Drosophila melanogaster: one gene and its partners. The protein of the gene in region 3 interacts with the protein of the main gene of each other region in a biochemical or structural test. Each region holds a gene or a part of one and is shown on either strand. Other genes may lie near its edges.

Region 1 (3,753 bases), on a different chromosome or scaffold from region 3:
TCGATCGAGGGTCCAGTTCCGGATACATTATTCGTTCGCCACGCAACTCCCTCGCCTGATTCCATTCATGTATTCATTCATCAGAGGCCTCGATTGCGCTTGGAACCTCCGTGCCCCATACTTACTCCTTACTCCCTACTGCCTACTCCTTACTCCCTGCTCCTTACTCCATTGTTTACTATCGTCGAAGATGCGTAGTAAAAGTAGCGGCGAGCAGCGCCAGTTAACCCAGTGTCTGCGATCTGAGAAGATCGTCGCAAATCGGAGGAGCGGACGAAGAAGGTTCGGACGAAAGAAAAAAGGAGAAGAAACATCTGTCGCCACGAAGAAATCCGGTTGCAAGCTGCAACACCACCGGCTCAAAATGAGCAACAACACAGAGAACATATGATTGAACTGCCCGAATGCCGCATAAAAATGGGTAAAAAACGAAAAATCGAAACGCACCTTTTGTGTTTTTGTTTTTTTTTTTTTTGTTTTTGGAGCAGCTGCCGTTGCTGTCGGTGCTTCGTCGCCGTTGCGGAGGATCGACGGGTTTGGGGGGAGCACCAGACTCTGCACTCGGCAGCCTGTTGATGAGCCCACAATGCGCACATGCTGCAAGCTATTCGTGCCGCGGATGATATGGGCTCTGTGTTGAGCCGGCGGGTCCTCCATAATGATAAGTGCCCGTCGAGGAGGCCGTCCACATTAAATTCGGCGTTTGTCGCTCAATGGCAGCTGCCACCGATTCCTTCGGCGGCTTAAGCAAATCCAAAGGACTGGACGCGAGGGACGAGCTTGAGTGTCGAAAGTTCAGATAGGTCAAGTTGTCAAAATATTCGGAGACAGTTGTCGGTGCTTTTCGATTCATTCATAAAATTTGCGAGGCTCTGATCGCTGAATGAATTTGGCAATTCGCCTTGCAAGGCAATAAAATTATAAAATAAGGTTTATCAGCAGGTTAAGAATCATTAACATTGTTATTCCTTATTTTTTATAAATATTTATTTGGCATAAAAGTATATCAGTCATCAGAATTTTATTCGTGGTTAAATTGTCAAACTTCTGCTGCATATTTCCACTGGCACTGCCTTTTGTTATCCGTTTCCTGTTTCAGAATTCGCACTAGTCATCCTAGCAGTCAACATCCCTTTTGGCGCCCTTAAATGTGAACATATGCCGCCTGTTTGTTTTGTTTCGGCTATGTCACCCTTATGGTTGCTTTTTCTCTCACTGCAATATTGGGTTATATGGTACATGTTTTCATTTTTCAAAAACACCAGGCTTAATCTGAGCCCAAAAAATTGCATTTGAGTATAAAAATTATACAAAAATAAATAAATATTTTTAAATTTTGTTTTATATTTGAAAATATATATATGATTTGAAAATATGATATATTTTGCATGACTTTTATTTCATTAGTGTCTAGCTTATCCTTTATCTCTTATTTTTCCCATCGATCCGACAACGCTCGCCACTCTCGCATGTCATTTGCCAGATGTGGCAGCCCGCAGGCACAAATTTTGAAAGTGGTGCCCAGAATGCGATGAGGACAAGCAAGGCTCATTCGAAATTTGTGCGTGCAACGCGAAGGACGTGCCGCTCCGTAGCTCGCTGTCCCGCTCTCGCTCTCCCCGCTCTCTCGCTCTGTCGCACGCGTTCGCCGCTTGGCATTTGTTGTTTGCCACATTTTCGCGGCACCCCAAAAAATCGTGAAAATACAAATACAATACGAGTGCGAAAGTCGAATATCGGCAGAAGTTAGTGCGACCTTTGGTGACGTCAGAGGCTGGGAAAAATCGCCAGGATGTCTACCAATCAGCAGCAGCAGGCGAATCCTTCGGCGGCCGTTGCCGCACCCGCCGCCTCCTCGGAATACCTGAAACGCACCTGCCTCATCTGCGGCTGCCACACCAACCAGACGATCAATATCTACGAGCCCCGCTCCGGACCCAATATCGTTCAGCTAATCCAGGCGAAATTCAAGTTTCAGGTATGGATTTTTCCCAACTTAGAGCAAAAAAAATAAAAACTCAGTTAGGCGGGGAACGTATAAAAATCGATATTGGGGCAACTCGGCGGATGAGTCATGCAACGAAGGAACGTCCTTCGGACAAAGTTTTCCCTCTGCGCGTGTATCCGTGTGTGTTTTTTTTTTTGGGTTAAAAGGGGATGAACTTCGCTGGGCGGAAAATGGGAAAATGGGTGGCACTTCTATAGGCAGGTACAGGTAACTCCCTCACAGCAGCCCACTGGGAAAAAAAGAGTGGCAAGCTATTTGATGATTGATTTCGAGCGCAGTTTTCTAATATTTTTAAGTGATTATTTGCAAAGAACTAAGGTCTCGGAATTAGTAGTTCTATCACAAACTACTTTCTTAATGAAAATTTCAAAATCCTTTATCCCTATTAGTTTTGTGGTATGCCCACCTTTTCCTGTGCCCTTTAAACTGCATATCCTGTCGCCGAGCAGATGATGCATTTCCCCGACAACCTTTGGTAATTGGACACTTTGCATATGTGCCAGTGCCACAGAGCCGCCACTTAGTTCGATTCCTTTCCCATAATTTTTAACAGCTTGTTCTAATATGCGAGCAGTGCGGTGTGTGTGTGTGTGGGAAATGCGACAGCGGAAGATGGCCAGGGAAATCGATCCTGGCTGAAGATCCTGGGCTTGTTTTTCTGTGGAAGTGAGTTTCGGGTCTCGGATTACAGGCACTCCTCCTCACTCAAATGACTACCCATGACTACCTGTACCGGCGGCGCACACATAAACCTGCTCGAAAGGGCAGATGTGCTGTGGATTTGCCGAGATTGCTCCAATTTCTGCGGGCAGTGAACGAACCCGGTGTGTTCGTTCTCTTCGTTTCCATATCCCAAAACGACAGCTGTATTTGCCGGTCGGCACTCAAAATCCAACCCATCGGGGTTTCTGGATCCTCTGCTGCTGCTGCTGCTGCTTCTTTATCAGCTCTTCATGGTCTCGAGTGAGTTTTTTCGCATATCAACTATTGAACTCGGATACCTGGATGCGAGTTCACAGTTTATTGTTTGTGAGACGAAGGGATTTTCCCCAGCAGCATTGGTGGTTGAACCCTTGGAGAATGCCAAATATCTTTGGATAGAAATTCCGGTTTCTTAAGCTGCGCAAATCCAAACAAAGGATCTACCCTTGGAATAGCGTTTACAAAGGTGATTTCAAATGCCCGAATTTTCAGCCGAAGTCCCAGAAGTGCCAAGCTAGACAAGATTTCCATTTAGAGGTCTTCGTTTAGTTTGGTATTTTTGGGAAATAGTTTTTACTAAGGTTTCCGTTCAATTGGATTACAAAGTCAGAATGAGAGTTCTTAAAACGAAGTCCTATAAAAACATAAACAATATTAAGTGGTTGCTAACATAGGTTGTTAAAATATTGGGTAGATATTGGTAGATTGTATTTCCACATATTTTCGGAATATATGTTTCGGTCTTAGATTAATTGAAGCATTGTGCTTAACTAGTATTGTGTGTATAGCAATCAATTTAATTACGAAATGCTCGAGACGCACGCAATGCGATTTCATAATAACAAAAACCCTCAGCTAACCCCGCAATATCAGACACTAGAAGCTCACCCTCTATGCACATAGAATATATATATATTCACCCCCTCCGGACGTCGTTAGAATTTCGTTTGAACCGTTTTTGCGAAACCCTATACGGTGGGCATACACCACCTGCCGTGATCGTAGCCTGGCAACCGATCTCCCCCACAGGAACAACACCCTCG
Region 2 (3,753 bases), on a different chromosome or scaffold from region 3:
ACGCGCCAAATGCCGACTAGCATCTGAGCGCCGAGGAGCAGAGACTGTAAAGCGGAATTTGAACCGAATCGCCGAGTTGCACTTCGGCAGAGGCGGAGGACTCCGTGCCGGATGCAGACTGTGATAACATTTTCCTGAGGCTCTGCGTTCTCAAGAGTGCTCGATATTAGTTGGCCGGCATGTGACTTGAAGCCTATGGATTCTGAATGGGACGGTCGGATGGATGACTCTATATCCAGCATATAGCATCGTATCCGTATCAAGGCCGAAACACTTGTGTTGCACCGGCATTTTCAATGTATTTTCAATGCGGACGCAAAGCGAGCAAAACAAAACACAACAAGCATACGCCACGTTGCACTTGCACAGCATCAAATGCCCTGCCATCCTCATTTTTAATGCATGAGGGGGTGCTCCCTCCACCCGGCCACACTCCATTTGTTTTTCCAACCATCGCTGTGGATTGCGTAGCGATTGGGGGCTGCAGCTCCGAAACTGTTCGCTTAAGCGGTCGGTGATAAGACGCGAAATCAAATTTAAAAGCTATCAATTTGATATTAGTTCGGGGACCGACGAAAATCCTTCGGGGGAAAAGCTGCTGCCGCGTGCCAGAATGCAGAAATCGGAGTTTTTCATGGGGAATTCGTTCACGGAAAAACAAAAGGAATATATTTGAAATATAAATTTATGTTTTATTGTCATATTTTTCACTGGATATGACACTAATTTAATTCTTCTCTATCTGTCAGTCTACAGATATTTGTTTGGGTTTATGCAAAAAAAAAACCAAAAAAAAAAAACTTTTGTTTAGCTCCTCTCACGTATTTTATTTATAACTAAACTAAATATATGAAACGCTGTTTTCTCAGTGCATCCTATTTGTGTTTTTGCCAACATATGCTGCAGCTCATAAAATTTCTCCGCTTTGCTGCAGTTTTCATTTGCCTTTTTTTTTCGGCAGCTCTTTTTTGGTTAGCTGTCGAAGTTTTGAAATCAATTTGCAGATGATTTATTATGTTCCCAGGAACGAATAGGGGGCTTCAATCGAGGAGGAGTCTGTGCATACGACATTGCAAATGGAAGCCACTGACGTTGATGAATGCCGCTGTGTATTGTTTTGCTGTCAGAAGCGATCAAATTTCTGTTTTGGAGCACGGAATTCCAGGTGAAGCGGAAAATTTGCAAGTTATGCGACAGTTTTATGCGCCCATTTTTTGATTGGCAGCGAGGATTCGCAAATTGATGGCACGTCTCGGGGCAATCGGTTTTCTCAGCGGAAATGCCAGTTGGAAATGGGAACTTAAGATACTTAAAGAAATGCATCAAAAATAATAGGATAAATATTATATATTTATAGAAATTTTTAAGAAATATTAACTCTTTATCAACAGTAAGCATTTTCAAAAAGTAACCGCTTTTGCCTAACAGTGCTGCCCATCTACAATTGGTTTTCAGGCAGCACTATGCACACGGCAGTACAGCTGTTACTTATCGGTGCTATCGATAAATATCAAGGACTCAAAAATTGGGACTAATAATATTAAAAGAGCAAGCTTAAACTTTAACATTATAACTATTAAAACTGGATTTACAATTGTCTTACGTTACTTTAAAGTATAGCAGTTGAAATCGATTTAGTATTGTCAACGCGCGCTTTCCCACACTGCTCGATAAGCATATGTTTTTCTTATCGACATTTGTGGTAAATAAAAAGTGCAAAAACCGCTGCTAAATCGGTCAAGAAGTGCAATGATATAGCCGCCATATCTGATATGTCCAAGCGCAACATAACGTACGTAAAGCCGCAAGAACCTAGTTTTCTGGCCAAGTTGAAGGCTGAAATTGGCTACAAGGAGGGACCCACCGTAGAGACCAAGGTGAGTTCTACGGGGAAGGCCTCTGCAGCATTCTAATGCGGATATATAACCATTGGTTAGCGTCAGCGATTGGATCCGCAGGACCAGGAGGACTACGATTCTGAGGAAGATTCACGGGAGGACGAACAGCCGCAGGTGGTCGTCCTTAGGCCGGGAGATCTATCCGCCGAAGAGGCCAAAACGGAGAAACTGTTGGCCTCCAAAGGTCGGTACATATGTACAAGCATACATACATACATATCGCTGTAGTACATACATACTTACACGCTCGCACACGCACACACACATGCATATAGCCCACGGTGGCGGCGGCGGCAGTTGCACGTGTGTGCGTAGGTAGGATGTTGTAGTTTGTCTTTCAGTTTAACTTTTCAGTCAGAATCGAGCGGTTGTCTTCTTCTGCCCGGCGTTACATATATCTAAATCATATATGTATATATACATAACTGCGTATATACCGTTGCTTATGTATGAGTGCGCGCGTGTGCTTGTGCATTTTTGCCAAATGAAAATCTAACGGTAGTGCGAAAACAGCAGTTTGTTGCAAGAAGTATGTGTTTTTTTTTTCGAAAAGCACCTTCGGTTTTTCAATCTTTTTAAAGCCCTATGTTGCCATGGCAATCTTGGTCATTTCCGTCCTAAAGATTCCCTTTTTTGCCCAGCGGAGCACCCCTCACACAGACACACACACCCGCAGCAGCTAGCCGACGAGGCATACACACTGACATTTTCATTGGGGGCTCCGCCAAAGCAGAGCATGTGATGAAAATCGTTGGCAAAGCGGGCGCGGCGATAAAGCAGCCGGCAAAGAAGTTAACAACAGCAGCTGCCGCCGCTCGCTTTGTCCGCCTCTTCCGCTCGCCCCCCTGCCCCTTTCAGCCCCACTTGGAAGAGCGCAGAAAATCGGGTGAAAACAACGTGTGCAAGAACGAACGGATGAAGGAGGCGGGCAAAGCGGAGAGACAATGATGAACGAAGCAGGCGAGCAAAGAGGAAAAGAGCGGGCCAAAGTGGCTTGACGACGTGGTGGCGGTGGCAAAGGCGCTGCGGGGAGGGGGTAGGCGTTGAAGAAGGGGCTGGCGGAACAGCGGGGGCGGGTTGCGAATCAGTGGGTGGAGCGGGAGGGGGAGTGAAGCGGGAGCGTCGGGCGAGAAGGGGCTTCCCAGGGCCGAGAAAAACATCTTGTGGGTGCTGCTTGGAAAAGGGGGGGGTCGGTGGGTGGCTTGTTCTGATTTACACCTCCCTCCTCCCCATTTGTCATGCTGCAGTTTTTAAAACCCAGATACATTTTCCAATCCAATAATGAATTGCTGGCATATTAGTCACCTTCCTGGCAATTTTATAAGCAGATCAATTTTCAAAAACTTTCTTGTATTCCTTTTAGTTAATGCAATTTTTAAATTTATTTTATTTATATCAGCTTTGATATATGTATTGGCATTTTTCTCCCTAAATTTGTGCATACTACTTTCCCCAAAATATTTTTCATTCTAAGATAGTTTATATAACTTAAATACTCCATTTAACTTGTAAATAGGTGTTTACTTACACGCTTTACTACGATCATAATAAGTACAGATGATTGCTGACCCATAACTAACTCCCATTTTCAATCTTCCAGAATTAGCCGAAAAGCGAGCGGATCTGACGCAGCCAATAGTCTTCAAACACTGTGTCAAGCAGCCCAACATCGAGAAAAAAGAGTCCCAATCTGAAACCAACAAGAAGTCCGAAAAATCCAGCACATCCAAGAGCAAGAAGTCCAAGGCCGCCAGTAGTAAGCTGTCCTTCAACGAGGACGAGGAGGACGAGACTGCCGAGGATTGAAGATCACACCTTAGTTATCTGGCTATAAGTTGAACCAACCAAGTTAACC
Region 3 (3,753 bases):
TTCGTTTCCTTTTCGCCCCAATACAAAGTATAATTCACGATTTTTGTTGTTGCTGCCACTGTGTGAAGTGGGTTAGCGAATTAAAAACAACGACAGAAGTAACAAATAAACATAACATACAAAGACAAATGCAGATCGGAGACGAAGATTGTGTTTTTTGGGCTGTGATCTTGATTTGCATAATTGAATTTGTGGCTTAGCGTGGAGCACAGGTGCAAGTGTAGAGTTGCCCCTTGGCCAGGGTTGTCAGGTTTCCTTCCTCCCAAGAATAGTAACCAACGTATAGAGTTGTAGCTCACTTTAGTTATTGCGATTAAATAAACGTAAAGCCGAGTTACACAATCAATACATTGAGTCCAAATAATTTGTGCAGTGCAAACATGTTGCGTACATGGATTACTCATTCACACATTCACTCCATTGGTTCATTCAGAAAAACACCGCAAGTGTTGCAGCCACTGGAAGCCACCAGAAGGCACTGGAACTGGAAGAGTGATCAAAAGGGGTGCGCCGGGCGAATGACGACTGGATGTGGAAGTGGGGGATAAAAAAGGAAATGGGCAACTGCAAATGACAGAGATCACTGAAGCACGACCGACAAATAAGCGGCGGACGAATCTATGTATCTAGTATCTGGTATCTAGTGTGGCGGCATTACTCCCCATGTGCCGTATACGGCATGTGTGCATTTGTATCTGTGGCTGTACCACTATCTGTATAAGTTGGATACAAAAGCGTCTTTCCAATAGGCGTGTGTTGGTGCATGTACTGAGCGTGTGAGCGGGAAATTGTTAGAAGAAAATGTATCTGCTAGGCTTTTAAGACTGCTAGATTTCCAAAACGACCCTTGGCCAATTTGTCAGGCTTTTATTGCTATAATTCTGTAATCCAAAAGCTATTAACTGCTGATTTTGTCATCAATTGTTTTCGACTCCTGCGATGTCCTGTTTAAAGTGATTAGATTCTAATCCAAAAATATAATTCAGTGAACATTCAAATCTTTAAAAAAATCACTACGGACTCCAGAAACAAAAGCCAGTTAAAGAACTTTTGAATCTTAATCAATAAAATCCTCATCTGAGATTCAAGATAAGTCTTAAGAAGGTAATAAGAATACTTAAACTTGTCGTTTAAATTTGAACACTTGATGATTTGACCTTTTTCGAAGACTATTTCGTGGATAATCTCACCACTTACCAATTTTACAAATATTCTTGGTAATCCGTTTTGCGGTTTCTTCGGCGGAAGAAGGCTTGCAACACTCGAAAGTACTTGTTGTTGTTTCTGTTTCTTCTCTTGTTGTTGGTTACACGTAATTGGCAACCGAGGCGAACACGGAGCCGAAAGCGGGTTGCGAAAAGGCAAAAGGCAAAGAAATCAGCTGAGGAAACGCCGCGCACGAACCTCCAATCAGAACTGAAACGGCAGGGATGTCGACGTCGACGCAGAAGCCATTTTACCGCATTTGTTGTCCCTGAGCTGAGCCCCAAAACCGAGAGAGAGAGAGAGGCAGAACGAGCACCACAGAGAGCCGCTAAGGTGGATACACAAAGCCGAGCCGAAGCCTTACCGAAAGCTTTGATCACACGGCACGAACTGAGCTGGGAATAGCATGGAATATGGGAGTATGGGAATTGGTAGTGGTAGTGGGCGGTATTTGTAGTGCTCCCGTTTCACATTGCTCTCCCGCTCGCAGGGCACCAAAAACGCAAGTGGATGTGGACGGATGAGCGGACGAAATGGAATGGCAAGAATCGAACATTTGAATGGGGCTCCAAATGGTTAAGAGAACAGCGCAGCCGCTGCTGGCAGCGAGAGCGAGGGAGAGCGCAGTCCCAACTTGACATTTCCATTTCGCCGCTGCGTTGGCGCTCTGCCCTTATGCTCTTTCTTCTCGCGCTCTCCCGCTGATAAGCTGGTGTTGAAAACAAGTCTCCTGCGCTCTCGCTCTCTCTCACCGCCGTGACCTGCTGCTCCACCTCTGCGCCCACCACCCCTTCGCTTCTCTGCTGCATCAGCGTATTACGAAATATGACAACAATGCAGTTTGGTCGTCCTCGTTTTCATTCTGCCGACACAGCGGCTGCTTCTTCTTCAGTCCCATCTTCACCTCTCTGCTTGTGCCTGCTCAGCATAAATGCCATCTCTCCGCTCTCTTTGGGAACACCGGAGTATGGAAGAGTGTGAGAGAGGGGGGGGGGGAGAGAGAGGAGAAAGAGAGAGTGGGTGGCTGGTGCTTGTTTGTTATTTTCTCCGCGCTGCACTTGCAAATTGATTGTATTTTAATGAAGTTCTGGTGCCCGCTAAAAATAGTCAACTCTCTATTCAAAGGGGAGGATCGTCGCCGAGGGGCGTGGTGCGGGAATTTCTATCTGGGCGCATTCCAAGTGCAGCAATATATCGGCAGTAACTAATTCCAAATGCCAGCTATTACGACAAACTGGTTTGATCGGAAAAGCGTGCCTCGTATGCTCGACTCTCTTATTCGCTCAACCTCCCACCGACTGCCCCGCCCCCCAGCGCCCCTTTCGAGAACGCTCGCGCACACTTCTAACTGAAACCGAAATGATTCCATGTTTTCCCCGCTGCACCGACTTTAAGTTGAATAATTGTTGCTGGGGTTGCCCTGCACTGAGAGAATTGTTTGCAACGTAATTGTTTCTTTACGTTTTAGAAAATATCGCTACCTTAGATAATATAAACTTTATACACTAGTTTTGCTGTGCACGATGGCACACGTAACCCACTGGTCAACTGCCTGATGGGTCTTGGGAGCGTGTCGCTTTTTGGGTAACCCCCGGGACGGGGCGTTACCTGATCCGATCCCAAGGGGGGCTGGTCGTTATTAGGGCCCATTTGAAGGATCATTAGGCATGCATGGGAAAGACCGTCAATCAATGCGTGTTCTTGGGAAACGGCAACAGTTCCCCGCATCTAAGATTATATATCTGGCATAGATATGGGAGTTCTTTGACTTTGGCACCGCTGATAGTGGAAAAGGATTGAGGGACCAGACTTGGGCGACAGATAAGACATGTCTAGGAAGGCCGTTATCTCTCTCTTTATACGCTGATAATGGAAGCCTTAATCGCTTTCTTTAAGTACAATCGGTTAGTTAGGTTTGGTTTTAAACATATCTACATATGTGGACCCTCTGTTATGAAAGCGTGTAGTATGGGGATAGCTTTGAGCAAGTTATACGACTGGTGAAAAATTGGCTTGCATAACCCGCCATACCCTCCATTGATCTTTCCTTGCACACCATTTTATTGTTTCGCAAGCTTACATTAGCTTGGAAACTAATTTCGATGGAGCCCACAGACAATTACGTTTATTCTCGGCATGAATCACCGCTGAAGTGATTCAGCAGGGCGATCCAAATGCATCCCTCGGTTGCCTAGGGCCCACCCCTTTTAACCCCGCTCTGTAGCCAGACAATTTGCATTGCCTCGTGAAATACGGTCAGTGGACGGGACGAGTATCTGGTATACCCGCTTGGCTAAGCACTCTCTCTCGAAGGGGAACTGCCCAGAACTGTTCTGTTCTGGGACCGCGATTCAACAGGTTTGATCCGATCTGGCCGCCTGCCGGGCCATTTACTACTCGGCTTGGATTTTTTCCCGCTATTCAAAGTGCCACACAGCTGAAATAAATTAATTGCTTAATTGTTGTTGCTGGCTTAGCGGCATTATTTGAGATGAAATTTGCTTTTAATTAAAAACTCTCCACAAGGCGAGGGCGAGTCTTTATTTC

The links.
Region 1: the proteins of ttk (region 3) and phyl form a complex in vitro, tested with the Drosophila melanogaster proteins (one study listed by BioGRID).
Region 2: the proteins of ttk (region 3) and MEP-1 form a complex in vitro, tested with the Drosophila melanogaster proteins (one study listed by BioGRID).

The regions. Positions count from the first base shown.
Region 1 is NT_033778.4:14,430,133-14,433,885, reverse strand, and holds the start of phyl (phyllopod), read left to right. Parts: upstream 1-1,548; 5' UTR 1,549-1,792; coding exon 1,793-1,978; intron 1,979-3,753. UniProt on the Drosophila melanogaster protein: Essential adapter component of E3 ubiquitin ligase complexes; involved in R7 photoreceptor cell differentiation, embryonic nervous system, external sensory organ development and specification of particular muscles.
Region 2 is NT_037436.4:2,630,040-2,633,792, forward strand, and holds the start of MEP-1 (MEP-1), read left to right. Parts: upstream 1-1,675; 5' UTR 1,676-1,772; coding exon of another isoform or gene 1,773-1,877; exon of another isoform or gene 1,878-1,937; coding exon of another isoform or gene 1,938-2,082; intron 2,083-2,235; exon of another isoform or gene 2,236-2,427; intron 2,428-3,498; coding exon of another isoform or gene 3,499-3,704; 5' UTR 3,705-3,753. Other genes in the region: CG42245 (uncharacterized protein), read left to right, coding at 1,773-1,877, 1,938-2,082, 3,499-3,704.
Region 3 is NT_033777.3:31,711,714-31,715,466, reverse strand, and holds the start of ttk (tramtrack), read right to left. Parts: upstream 1,601-3,753; 5' UTR 1,198-1,600; intron 1-1,197. UniProt on the Drosophila melanogaster protein: Binds to a number of sites in the transcriptional regulatory region of ftz. Isoform beta is required to repress inappropriate segmentation gene transcription and repress genes incompatible with development of photoreceptor cell fates.